2 linked regions of the Lepisosteus oculatus genome follow. The protein of the gene in region 2 interacts with the protein of the main gene of each other region in a pairwise test. Links are inferred from orthologs where the notes say so. Each region holds a gene or a part of one and is shown on either strand. Other genes may lie near its edges.

Region 1 (6,909 bases), on a different chromosome or scaffold from region 2:
AAGCGAAAAAAAGCAGAAGTGAAAGACTGGCGCTTCAATCGTTAGATGAGCGATGGAAACGGTTTGTGTTGGTTGTGCTGCCTCTTTTTGTTGTGGGACTGGCACCACTCCATTCAGGAGGTGGCAGTAAATGTTCCAGACCTTCAGGCAAGACGAGCGTTTCTGCTGTTTTAAGATTTTGAAGCCTGTCTGTCACCAAGGCAAACAGCAGGTCAGGCCTCTGAGCTGATCTTTCAGATGCTGAAAAATCTGGCAAACCTCTCGGCCTTTTCTCTTGATGTGAAGCGCGGAGTGTGCCTGGGCATCTGTCCGTCACATTACTGCGCTGAAGAAATTCACAGACCAGCCTGGTGGCATTGCTGAGGGCTGAAATAACTGGAGCGATGACCTAGATTTGTGTGCGTCTGTGTGCCACTGTGTGGTGTCTGTGTGTGTATGTGGGTGTGGGGTATCTGTTTCTGTGTGTGTGTCAGTGTGGGGTGTCTGTGTGCCACTGTGTGGTGTCTGTGTGCCACTGTGTGGTGTCTGTGTGTGTATGTGGGTGTGGGGTATCTGTTTCTGTGTGTGTGTCAGTGTGGGGTGTCTGTGTGCCACTGTGTGGTGTCTGTGTGTGTATGTGGGTGTGGGGTATCTGTTTCTGTGTGTGTGTCAGTGTGGGGTGTCTGTGTGCCACTGTGTGGTGTCTGTGTGTGTATGTGAGTGTGGGGTATCTGTTTCTGTGTGTGTGTCAGTGTGGGGTGTCTGTGTGCCACTGTGTGGTGTCTGTGTGTGTATGTGAGTGTGGGGTATCTGTTTCTGTGTGTGTGTCAGTGTGGGGTGTCTGTGTGCCACTGTGTGGTGTCTGTGTGTGTATGTGAGTGTGGGGTATCTGTTTCTGTGTGTGTGTCAGTGTGGGGTGTCTGTGTGCCACTGTGTGGTGTCTGTGTGTGTGTCAGTGTGGGGTGTCTGTGTGCCACTGTGTGGTGTCTGTGTGTGTATGTGAGTGTGGGGTTTCTGTGTGTGTGTCAGTGTGGGGTGTCTGTGTGCCACTGTGTGGTGTCTGTGTGTGTATGTGAGTGTGGGGTATCTGTTTCTGTGTGTGTGTCAGTGTGGGGTGTCTGTGTGCCACTGTGTGGTGTCTGTGTGTATATGTGGGTGTGGGGTGTCTGTTTCTGTGTGTATGCGAGTGTGGGGTGTCTGTGTGTGTATGTGTCAGTGGGGGGTGTCTGTTTGTGTGTGTCGGTGTGGGGTGTGTGTCTGTGTGTGTTTGTGAGTGTAGGGTGTCTGTGTCAGTGGGGGGTGTCTGTCCGTGTGTGTGTGTGTGTGTGTGTGTGTGTGTGTGTGTGTGTCAGTGGGGGGTGTTTATGTGTACAGTCTGTGAGAGTGTGAAAGGAGTTGTTGTGTGTGTACACTAGCGTTCCTTGTCACCAAGTCAAACATGCACTGATCTTCAAACACCCATTGTGTGTTCTGCTTGTCTTTCAGAGCTGCTCTCTAAAAGCACTTTTAAGTTTCCAGTTCACCGCAGCCCTTACATTTTCCAGAAATCAATACATCACTGTTAGATCAACCGATGTAACAGTCTATATTAAAAAAGATGTCTGTTTCTGACAGTGTTGTTCAATATTAGGAGTACAGCTTTTCTTTTGAGGTTCAGATCCATTTTTCAAAACACGCAATTGCAGCTCTGCGACACCGTGCTGCTGCCACATCTGCACAGCGCTGTCTTTTATTAATTCTATTTTGGTTTTAATGAGAAAGGTGTGCATTACAAATCCCCGCTTAACCTAGTTTGGGTGGCTCTGTGATGCTTAATTTCGTCATTCTTCTGCCTCTCAAATAATGGCAGGGAGGAGAGGAGAGGAGAGGAGGGGGGAGGAGAGGGCTTGAGCCTGCTCGCTGTGATTGCATTTAATGTGTCTCCTGGGAACTGGAGAAACTGAGAAGGAAGAGCAAGAATCCTGAATTCTTTATGCTCTTGTTGGCTAAGTTTCCCTGTCTTCCAGTATAATATTGTTAGAATCTGGTAAGACAGGGCAGAAGGAAAGATGCGGAGAGCCCTGTCCTCCTCATTTTAGGTGCATCATTTCCTAGCAGCAACAGACTTGAGAATCCAAATGGCCAAATTTATGTTCTTTCAAGAAAGTTATGAACAAGGCTAGGCCCTTTCACCCCTTGTGCTCATCTGGTAGTTGATCTCATTGAGCTGTTTCTTCAAGGTTCCCAGGGTACTGTCTTCAACAATGTGGCTGGACAGATTGTTCCATACACCTACCACCCTCTGTGTAAAAACATGCCACTTGTTGTCAGTCCCAAATACACTTCAATGATCATTCCAGTGTTTCTGAGTGTGAAGCAGTCCCTTGGGCTGACTATATCAATTCCTTTCAGGATGTTGAATACCCATATCACACTCTGTTGTAATTTTATACCCCCTGTTCCAGACTAAAAAGATCCAGTTCCTTGGACTTATCTGTTAATGCCATTCGCTCTAGACCTGAAATTATTGAAAATAAGGTTTGCTTATTTTCAACTCCAATCTACCGATTCATCATTTTATCAATCGATACTGTCGCTTATCTGAAAAAAAAAGAGCATTTTTTCATTTTCTCATTTTCCGGTCCCAAGCTGATCCTGAGCTGCCCCTCCCTCTCAGAGATCTGGCTAGAGTACCTCCTTTATATCATCTCCTGTTAGGGCCATAGCGCCTCCATCTGTCAGAGGAGGGGATAACAGCCTGGAGCACTCTGGAGGGCAGATGTCTCCGGTGCTATATGCTCTGTGCATACAGTATATGTCGATGTGCACATCTGCTGTGTGTCGTTTTGTCTTATTTTGTCCTGTGCTGTCTGCAGCTTGAGTGATGGTGGCTCTGGGGACAGTCTGGGTGAAGAGCTGAAGAGAAGAGCTCTCAACAGGTAGCCTGGCTTTTTTATTCCTTGGGTTTTAAGTTGTGCGCTTTGAAAAAATGCATGCATGGGTGGTGTGGCCTGCTGCATCTCTGTGTCGTGGTTTTGGGTTCAAATCGAAGGCACAAGTTGTTGTTGTTCTGATCTTGTCACTTTGCTGCTCAATGACGTCTCAGGAAAAACACAGTCCAGCAGCAGCGCTCTGACAATCCTGGGTTTGATCTTTGCTGACGGTTGTTAGTTTGTTAAAGATAACGTGCGGATCAGCCAGTTCAATCTCTCACGTACAACTGGCTTGAAACTAACACCTTTACTGTGTTCATGTCTGTGTACCCGTCTCTGTTTCAGTGTTGCCATGAGAGAATTGATTCTGAAAGGCAGTATATGGAATAGAGATGATAATACATGGGTTGTTAAAATGGTTCATTTAAACACAGATGAAATTCATCATCATCTGGGGGGGATAGGGCTGATATAGCGCCCTCTGGTGTCTAGTGTACTTACTTACAGGAGGAGGCATTCACCCAAGCCCCATCAGAAGGTGTGTCCGATTTCATTGGTCAGTGGTGCCCAGTTTTCTACATGGACTTGATGGGAGTACAGTCAGTTAATAGTAGTTTTTTTTTTTTAGACATTTTACCCCCAAAAAACATCTGGGAGTTTCTTCCCAACCTTGAATTTAACCATGTGAATTTAACATGTGACCTGTTCTTAAGTCAATAAATTAATCTTAACGTCCAAGTTTTGTTTGCAGTGACAGTGTGACCTTCCTGCTGGGGGCGCAGACAGGGGGTGCCCCTGACCCGAGCAGGCATTGAGGGGGTGAGAGTTTGGGAACACTCGCAGGAAAGCAAGCTACCTATGATATATGATATATGATATATGATATATGATATATGATATATGATATATGATATATGATATATGAAATATTATATATTCATCCATGTTTCACTGTGTTATGAAACCAAGGCAGTTTGTGTCCTTTTAAAATTTTTTAAAATGTTTTTAAAAACTCAAGGGCACATGTTTCTGAGACCCACCCCTGAACCATCAAAAACAACCGGGAGTGGGTCCCTGAAACTGTGTAACATTACCATCCGTATTGCAAAGCTCCTGTAAGGGCAAAAATGCTCCGACTTCTGAAAGAATCTCAGTTTGGCTGCAGGGAGGGGGACTGGGAGTTTCATCCAACACATCTATACACACCCTTGGGTGGACAGTGTAGTCTCACCTGCTTTCATCAAGACATTTTTGCCCCTTTCCAAATCACGTGCAGTGTAGTTTCACCCTCCCATGGTGCCCTGTGCCCTGTCGCCAGCCCTCCCCTGCCTCCGAATGGGCTCCTGAGGGGACTGACTCGCTCCACAGCCTGCTGTCCCAGCCCTCCCCTGCCTCCGAATGGGCTCCTGAGGGGACTGACTCGCTCCACAGCCTGCTGTCCCAGCCCTCCCCTGCCTCCGAATGGGCTCCTGAGGGGACTGACTCGCTCCACAGCCTGCTGTCCCAGCCCTCCCCTGCCGCGCAGCGAATCCGCCGGCGATGTCTTCGGAAAGCTAAACGTGCTTGAGGCAGCGTTAAACATTAAAATGAAACGTGATCCCCCACGGTGTGGCGCCCCGCCCCCTGCTTGACGAACACAATAGCGGGGATGGAGCCTGCGGCCGCAGGAGGGGGGGGGTCCTGGCTGGGAGGGAGGCAGGGCCAGATGTTGGGAAACTAATGCTGCCTGGGAGCAGCTGGGCTGGGCTGGACTGCTGGCTAATAGATGTGCAATCGCACTCACACGATGACATCACTGGCTGTGCTGCACGGGGGGGGGCTACAGACAGGGAGGGAGGGAGGGAGCCCAGCTAAGAGCAGAAGAGCTCAGAGACAGGAGCAGAGTGAGCGTGAGGGAGAGAGCGAGGGAGAGGCACCGAGAGAGGGAACGGGACACCGTCGGCATCACAGTCAGGGAGAGCTCTCTCTCCAGGAGCCGGCGCGCATCAGTGGGAAGAAAGAGATTTTTGTCGTCGGCTTTTTTGGGAGGGGGTTCTGTCTTCCTCTCCCCCCCTCCCCCCTGTCCTCTCCTCTCCTCTCCTCTCCCCTCATCCTCCAAACCCTGCTCCCTTCGTCGGGCCGACCCCCCCGGGCATGCTCCTTAAGCCCAAGTATGACCGCTTTCGCAACGACTCCGTGACCTCCTCCGATGACCTGATGCAGAACTTAGCCATGAGCGGCAAAGTGGCCAGCACGCCGGCCAGCTCCGCCTCCCCCGCGCCCCCGCCGCCGCCGCCCACCCTCGGACCCCTGGGCCGCCACCCCTACCCCCCACCTGCCCTGGCGGAGTCCCCCTGCCCAGAGGCGGACCAGGATGGGACCACCACCTTCTGCATGCTCATCCCCAGGATGCCGCAGTGGAAGTTCTCCAACGCGTCGGCCTTCCTCAGCAGGAGCCCATCCAGCTCCAGCTCCAGCTCCAGCGGCAGCGGCGGGAAGGACGCCGGGGCCAAGAGCGCCCCCCAGGGGACAGCCGGGCCCGCGGCCCCGTCCAGCGGCCCCGTGGCCAGCCTGGCAGCCGTTCTGAACTCCTGTGACCCGGTGTGCGTCACCCCTTGTTCCCTGCAGGCCGTGAGCAGGCTGCGCGGCGCGGCGGGCAGCGGCCCCGGGGTGCCCGCCGCGGGCATGAGCCGGAGGCCCCGCGTGGACGGCGTGAGGCTGGGCGGGGAGGACTTCACCCACAAGGGCAGCTTCATCCACAAGCCCTCGCAGGGCTGGCTGCACCCCGACAAGAAGATCGCAGGGCCGGGGGTGTCCTACATAGTCAGGGTAAGTGTGCGTCGCACGCGCGTAGCCCTCCTCCCGCGCCCCTGCGGCGGCTTCGCTGTGGGCCCCAGCAGGAGCCCTGAAGCTGTGCTCACAGGGAGATGAGCTGCCTGTGTTTTGCAGGGTCATTCACTCTCCTGGGCTGCAGTGTTTCTTAACCTGCTTGGGGTCTCCTAAGCTCTTTTCTTTTCACCTCACACGCTGTGCAACAGCAGTGCATGCCAGGCCTAGCTCCCGTGCTTCGAGGTGCGTGCCTGGGAGAGGGAACGGAGGGATTAAGTGTGTGCCCGGGGCTGTGTGGCTGCGACTGCGTGTTTGTTCCGGACGAGGTTTGTTTTTCTGGTTTTGGTAGATCTCCAGATGGGTTCTGTTGTGACCCCTTTGCTGGTTGAATTCTCTTTTTTGAGTCTTGCAGGCTGTTTCTACACTGCAGCCCTTGTTGTCTGGACAGTGCTTCGCAGTACCGTGTTCCTAGGCCGTGTGTACCTGTGATCTTCCTGTGGCTTGTAGCTGACCGTGTCACGGTGAATGCGTGCTTTGTTTGTGTGTCTGCGTCAGCATCCTTATTTGTGCTGGTGTGACAGTGTGGGCACCAGCTGGCGCGTTCTTTTGTGTGAGTATCGGGGGGCTGGATTCTGGATGTATGTGTTGGTCTTGTAGTTTCTGTTGCTGTGAGCGAGCACGCACCCCAGCTGGCCTGTCAGACAGCCCTACACTGCGACTGAGTCTTTAGTTGAACATCCACAGAATTCGAACAGACTGTGGACTTGTGTTCAGTTTCAGTGACCTGCTTGTTTGTGTGCCACTGACCCTTGATGGGAGTATATACAGTGTCTTTTCCTTTTTTGTGTGTGTGGGGGGGTGTTGCTAGCTTTATAGAAATACACAGACCACTCCTGCTTTCAATCTCATGCTCCAAAATCACTGTCCCAATTCTAAAACGTTTTCTTCCAAAATGTTTTTTTTTAATTTGCAGAGCCCATCAGTAGAAGGGGGAGGGGAGGGAGGGAGAGTCTTTCTGAAACAATAAATATTGCTCTCTAGAGAAATCTGTAGCACATAGCATTACTTAGGTCTATAGTGGTGACAGCAACTCACACAAGGCTAGACAGAATTACTATAAATAAAGTGACATTTTTAGAAGGGCAGGTAAACACCATGTCACATCACAGCATCTAGATACAAACCACCTGTCAACAACAGTTTTTCATGC
Region 2 (7,269 bases):
TTAAACTAAATACTGGGTAAACACCTGGAAGATGTATACAAATGCAAAGTGTTGCTTACAGGTAGCAGAAACATAGAGTAGGTTATAGATATTGTAAACACTGAGCCACTGTAAAAGAAGCTGTCTGTGAAAAATATCATTTTTGCAAATTTAGTCATCACATTACTAAAAAAGATTGAAGATATTGGTGCTCTGGAATCATTCCAGAGAAGAGCAGTAAGACATTCCATGGTTTTAAAGGAATGTCTTGGAGTGACAGACTAAAACAACTAAATATAGTCATGAACTGGAGAAGACTCCTGAGGGACCTAACTCAATTATTCTAAACCCTCAAAGACATTGAGAAAGTTAGCCCGCTGGATTTATTCAGAATCAACAGTGAAACACAATCCAGAAAGAAAACACAAATTGATACTAAGGGAATGTGTGTTTCTGAGACCTAGAGGCATTTTTTACACAACGGGCAGTGGCAGTATGAAACAAACTCACCTGTTCAGAGAAGAAGCTGAAACTCTGGCTTCCTACAAGAAAAGGCTGGAGGAGATTCTTGGATTTTTTAATAGAAACAAAATGAACCGGATTACCCAGATTACATCTTCTCATTTTTAACTGTTCCTAGATTCATGTTTGACAAAAAAAACATTTTGATAATTAGCCAATATTAAGCTTTAATAATCAATCCAATTTAGAACTCCTAGTTTTCTGTACCATCAAGTACTGGTTTAATAAAGTCTGATGGGCAGAGGAAGGGATGTTTTAATTTGTTTAGTACAAATAAGATGCTTGAGCACATGAGTTCATTAGACCAAGAGCCAGTCTTCATTGACTGGATGGCTTTTTGTCTTAACCTGTAACCTGCTGCACATACGTTTCAATTACTCAAGCATAAATGCAGAGATGGATGGAACAGCTCTTCAGGCATTCCGTTTTTATTGGTCATGGAAGGTCCTCAGACCATCAGAACGTTTGGGTCTTCCCTGAGCTACGCAATTGTAGTATTCTTCAGTTTAATAAAATTGATTTACTGTATTAAGTTTGTACACAAAAACCTGCATTACCATAGACGGATTTCTGTCCAGCTGTGTTAAACAGGGATTAATGCTGTACGTGTCGCTAGTCAAAACAGACTGTTTACCCAATCACAGCACCTTGCTATTAAAAGCACTCTTGGGCACCTGTCCCCAGGATATCATTGTTAGAAACACAATGGAGCAACTTTAGTCTCCTTGGCATCAAATTGTGTATAATACAGGAAGAAGCGTTTCCCTGTTGGGAGCCACAAAGTTTAGTGTGAATGAACTGCCTTCCTTCAAAACTGGAAGGTGAATGACAACCCCCCCCCCACTCTCCAAACTCTGAATCTTTTTAACAGGCTTCATTTTTTCTCAAAAAAATCACTATCCCAATATGAATCAATAACATACGAGCCGCGCTTATGGAAATCCTTCACTGGCATTCTAAGAGATCACTCAGTTTTTATTGTTGGGATCAAAGCAGTGATATTTATGAAGGTATCCGTGAATCAATCGACTATAATACATTTCTTCTTAATTGATCTATTGAAGAAGTAATATGAGAAAACATCATGAATTGTTGGTCCATAGCATAAGAACCTTAATTCCCAAAATTGCTTTGAATGCTCTTCTGGGACCTGGTGTTTGACCTTGTCTGTAACCTCAGGAAGTGTAGGATACAACTACATGAGAATTCGACTTAGCGGATAACAGGACTATCGCATGACACCATTTGTTGGCTATGGGCCAAAACAAAAGCCAAAAACCACGGCTCCACTCTCTATATCACCTAAGCAAGTTTACGAGCTGAGACCACAGATTGCTCTCTTTCCCAGTACTTAATATCATTTAAAATTCTCTGTATCCCAACAGCACAAGGTTCTGTGTCTTAACTGAAAATACCTCAAGCCATCAAAAATAAGGACCCAGCAAGCTAACTGTCAATGTTTTTGAATCAAGGCAAAATGAGACCACCCGTCTTTAATAAGCAGCTGTAAAAATGCAAAGACCATAGGTGCTGAAAAAGGAATATTGGAGTACTCCCGTCATTCTGTCAGATCTCATTTTAAAAATGAGATGAATGAGATGGAACTGGGATACGTCGATTTCAGACACGCTGCACTGCACAGGTATTGCATTTTCAATGTGTACAGTACCTGTCTCTGATCCATTTTTCCATTTACCTGACGTCTTGTTGAATGTTCAATAAGTTTCCCAGCATATTGGCAAGTTAATAAAAAGGGTATTAAAGGTAACAAACGCTCTTTGATCTCGCTAATTTAGTCGTTTAGTAGCTAATCTCAAATTGTCCAGTCAGTTTTTATAAGCGCACAGAGTTTGGGCTTCAAACACCTGTGTGAGAAGACTGTTCCAGTCACCTCTTGTGTAAAAAAGGGGTTTATGTTCTCCATCCTAAATTAATTCCTTTTTAGTTTCCTACTACTGAATGTGAAATGTTCTCCAAGGGTGAACCTGACTTACCCTTTGGTATTCTATATGGTTGGTCAATTTTCCTCTTAAAATATATTATGTTTAGGCTGAAAACAACCTCCTTTAACCTGTCTATTTATGATAGTCCCCAGTGACCAGGAATATTTTTTGTTCCTCTTCTTTTAACTGTTTCTATGACTATAATATAATTTGATATTAAACTAAGCACACTGTTTCAACTGAGACCTTCTTTGTGTTCTGTATAGCTTGAACATAAATTCACACTTCTAGTTTACAAATCCAAAAGCATTTTGTTTGCTTATTTTATTGCTTCCCCACATTGTCTTGATGAGGACATAAAAGAATCTACATAAACACCCAGATCCCATTCATAGCTTCCTGTGGCTCAGAAGCACCCATGTGATATGTATAGTCTACAGTATGTTCCTGCTGTCTTTGTAGGTCACAATACATACTGCAGATAGATATCAAAGAAATCCGAGTTGGTGTCAGATATATAAATAGTACTTTAAATGTAATAATTTCTGCTCAAATGTTAAATTATTTAATATAATTTCAAATATTTACACATTTTTAAAATGTATGTGCCTTTGGCATTTATCTCCACAGATGTGGTCGATTGAAAAGTCAAGACAGGAACATATTATGTGTCAAAATTAGTCAGCAATTAAAGAGTGAACAGTTTACAATGCAAAGTTACATACAACAGATATATTCCATGAGCTTTATTGCAGTTATTCCAGTTAGCGTCCTTTTCAATGTTAAAATCCAATGATGGAATTAGAATGATCTTCATCCTTTGTTCACCTTGAGTTCAGACACGTTTCTCACCTGCAATTTGATTTGATTTTAACTGAAAGCTTCATTAACTTGCTGGGGATTTATGACTGAAAATAGACACTGGAAACCAATTGCCATAAACCTGTTTTAATATTAAATTTTAAAAGAACAAAATATGTCAGAGAAATGACGGTACTTTTTTTCTGGGAATTACTCCAGCCTGAAGTAAATGAATGCAAATACTCTTGTAAACCACAAATACACTCCTTATTTGATTTTGGACAGCAGTTCCCATAATGAATCACGTCCCACTGACAATCATAGGCATCCCACAGAGACATTCCCGATAACTGATGCTATGCAGTTTCTTAAAATAGATGCACAGGGGCTCGGAGGATCTGGTGGTGAGAGATGACCAGTGCTGTGCACAAGGTCTTCAGCCCACAGACATGTGTCCACTGGTGTGGCAGATTAGGATCAGTGGATGTGCTTGGGTCTGTGGGCAGAGGACATTCCTGTGTGCCGCCTGACTGCTCTGTGGATGCCTGTCTCAAACCAAACGCTGCAGCAGTATCGAAATTCAATTCCTCTCCCTTCATGTCCCGTCCAGCGCCTCACTCCGTAGACACACAAGGGCAGACTTCTCCGGTCCTGCTAAATTTCTTTTAGCCGGCTCTTAAGAGACTGTCTTAAGAGGCGTCTAAGACAGAAACGACCGCAAAAGCAGCGGTTTAGAGGTGACACAGGGTTTTCGGGCGCAGCTGGAGGCCAGAACTGCTCGGCTTCATCGCCACCCGCGCAAGGCCACCCGGGCGAGGCACGGCTCGAAACACGCACACTGCAAGCTGCGGCGCTTCACACGAGGGTCCAGGTTTTCGAGCCCCCAGAAGCTAAACTCGTTGGGGCTCTCTCGCGCGTGCGTGGGCGTGAGTGCGAGTGGGGACTAGAAGCGGGGGGGGGTCGTGCCAGTTATCTGGCCCGCTCTGCGCCCGGAGCCGCCCTGGAAGTGGCACCCTCCTCGGCGTGGCGAGAGAGACCCGCAGGTCAGCGCGTCGCCTGGAAGAGGGGGGACTGCGGGAAACGGGCCGGTGGGTGTTGCCGCTCATCTCACGTCACGGAAGCGTGGTTGTGAAGTGGTGGGGACGGAGAAAAAGTTATAAATCTCAACCCCGAGGGGAGTGGGAAAGGGATGACTGAAGCCCCTTTAAGCGAGGCGCGCTCGGACTGGATGCTCACCATCACACTCAGGACTCAAGCTACTGTAGGAATCCTGCTGTTATTCCCGTTTCTTGCTCTCTGAACGCCGGGATGTCAGTGTGCTAATCCATCGCGTTGTTAACTCTGGACCGTCACTGGGGCAGCTGTAAAAAAGGGAATTGTGCTCTCCGAACCTTCTTTGCCGAAAGGAAAGGCATTCAAGAAACGCGATGATGTATCTTGTGTTGATAGTACTTTGCGGACTCTCTGGAAGCGCACTATCAAAGGGTGAGTTTTGATTTATTACGAACTTGCTGTGTGTAAGTAGTGCAAGTTAGACAGAAACCAATTTCTCGTCGTTTAATAAAGATCCATGCAGGCAGCGCTCAGTTCGTTTGAACAACCTACTAAAAAAATCGTTTTAAGCAGCTCTTCATTAAGCAAATACATTTCGTTTTGAGCAGAAAAATTGAATTGAGTTTGGGTTGTCGTTTTCAACGGCTTTTAATTTCTGTTTTCCTTTAAAACACACAAGAAAGCGAAGTGTATCATCATCATCACCGACCTGGGCTGGGTACTACACAGACAAATACTACAGGAACTACACTGATTTTTTTAAAAATAATAATTGTTATATTTTAACAAAGTGTAATTCTAAAATGAATCTAATAATACATATTACATCAGTTACGATTTAACTCACGATTTTTTAAAGAAGATTATACTAAGGTGAAAAATTAAAGCTGTCCGCGATTCTTTTAATGATATACCAGTGAACATCAAGGTCTGGAGTTGCCTTTTCAGTGCGGCAGATAATTCTGATATACGGACTTTACAGATCACGTCTGCAGGTGCGCAACCATCCCAGTTAATCCGGCCGCCCCGCGTTGAAGAGCTCAAATAACGGGGATTTTTAACCATCCTTGTTTTCGGCTCTGGTTAAATCAGAGAAGGGCGGCGTTTCCTTTGCCTGATAAATTAGTTGAATGGAAGGGCTAATGCAAATTACAAAAGGTCATGACCACTAGAAGGAAACTTTCCAATTTACAGGAACTCGGACTAATCAACATATATTACTAAAACAGGCACGCAGGAGTGAACTGGAGTACCACCGAATGATACGTGCTGTGTTAGTTAGTCTTTGTCAGTGTTGACTTGCTAGTAAATACGTGGTTGACTCATGAGCAGGTTCTTCGATTCTGTACTCACCAGTACATTGTTTGCTACCGACAAATGATGTTTGGGAACAGAAACATTTTGCCTGCTGCTTCTTCTCCTTGTTGAAATACAGCGTATATAGCCAAGTCGTCTTAAAGTTGTTCGTTGAATTCGTTTAAATAGATTCGAAGAAAATTACATGAATTATTGACACCCGCTGAATGCTATTATATGGTTGACCGAAAACATAATTTTAACTTGCTGCTTATTTGTAAAGCTTAATAAGCGATGGGAAAAAATGAAAATGAAATGGGAAAAAATGTATTAAAATAGTCTTGTTAATTCCGTGGTTATTGATAAGGAAAACGTAGAAAGCATTGAAAAATTGACAGATTTTAACACAAACCGTTATTGGGTTCAAATTGAACACCGACGCATCTTTTCGATAGGTTCTCAATAAAACATTTTCCATAAGTAGTATTTTAAGTCTTGTATTTTATACCTAGATGAACGCAAATATGTGCTTTCGATACAAGCTGGGTGTTAACAAACAACGAGCTTAAAACGAACACGCGTCAGTTGAAGAACATTCAACACAACGGTTGAAAAGTATCGGAAGCAGAAAAACAAAACTCAAAGGTCGTGAAGATGTTAAGTAAACGAATTACATAAAAAGTGTATTTTTTCCTGACGCGTTCTGATGTGATTATCACTTCACAGTGGGTGTGCTCTGTGGGATTTTAAGGGTTGGCTGGACCTCTTCTGCGTGGGAGATGCTGAGAAACACCAGCAACTGGCTTTTTCTGTGTAAATTCCGGAGATACTGTAAATTCATGTGGTAAAAATGTACGCCGGTTGTACAGCATCGCTGATGCGTTGCTCCAACGTCCGTTCATAGCCTTTCAATCCGGTGGAGACATTTTGCCCTGTCTGTCGATCTTCAGATCACTGAAAGTGTGATTTCATTTATTGCGAGAGCAACCGAAGAGTGTGTTGGTCATTCAAATGATATTCAGCTTAAAGTTCAGAGCAGAAAAAATAAATAAAATTAAAACAGACCCACTCTCCCGTTCAACAAGCGGTCTTGGGTCTTCTTTAGGATCTGTGCCCTATGGCTAGCATCACAGGAGTGAGTCTTTTCCCTTCACATTGCGGCACGGTGATAACCCTACTGCTCGAAACCCAGACCAAAAGATCACTTTATACCTCAGGGATTCGGCCAGCAGGACGCCAAGTTCCACGCAATACAGATAAACCTAAACTGAAGGGAAAAATATATAAAAAAAAAACAACAAACCGCTTCCCACCCTTTTGCCCTCTCCTCCCAAAATTCAAGCCGCTCACCGCGATTCGTGAAAATGCCTTTCCACCTGTTCGGTTTCGAGAAGAATGGCGAACAGCCGGGAGGGAAGACTAATGAGGCTTGAAATCTATGCGGCCCGCAGTATTCAGCGGTGTGATTGATCAGCCTGGTGTGCGGGTTCGAGAAGGTCAGGGCTTTCTGTGCGTGAGTGATCAGGCACTGGCGACCGTTCTGCTCCAAAGCGATGCGGCACCGAGCGGACTGGGTTAATCAGAAAAATATTTTTTTTTTCCAATTTTATGGGGGTGTTTTATTTTTATAGGAATACGTACTGCGTAGGACCAAATGTACAGTACTTTCGAACTC

What was found.
Region 1: the proteins of flt1 (region 2) and shc2 interact in a two-hybrid assay, tested with the Homo sapiens proteins (2 studies listed by BioGRID). The link is inferred for Lepisosteus oculatus from reciprocal best matches to the Homo sapiens genes FLT1 and SHC2.

The regions. Positions count from the first base shown.
Region 1 is NC_090724.1:8,506,444-8,513,352, forward strand, and holds the start of shc2 (SHC-transforming protein 2), read left to right. Parts: upstream 1-3,892; 5' UTR 3,893-5,024; coding exon 5,025-5,699; intron 5,700-6,909. UniProt on the Homo sapiens protein: Signaling adapter that couples activated growth factor receptors to signaling pathway in neurons. Involved in the signal transduction pathways of neurotrophin-activated Trk receptors in cortical neurons.
Region 2 is NC_090700.1:5,799,759-5,807,027, reverse strand, and holds the start of flt1 (vascular endothelial growth factor receptor 1), read left to right. Parts: upstream 1-4,263; 5' UTR 4,264-4,672; coding exon 4,673-4,730; intron 4,731-7,269. UniProt on the Homo sapiens protein: Tyrosine-protein kinase that acts as a cell-surface receptor for VEGFA, VEGFB and PGF, and plays an essential role in the development of embryonic vasculature, the regulation of angiogenesis, cell survival, cell migration, macrophage function, chemotaxis, and cancer cell invasion.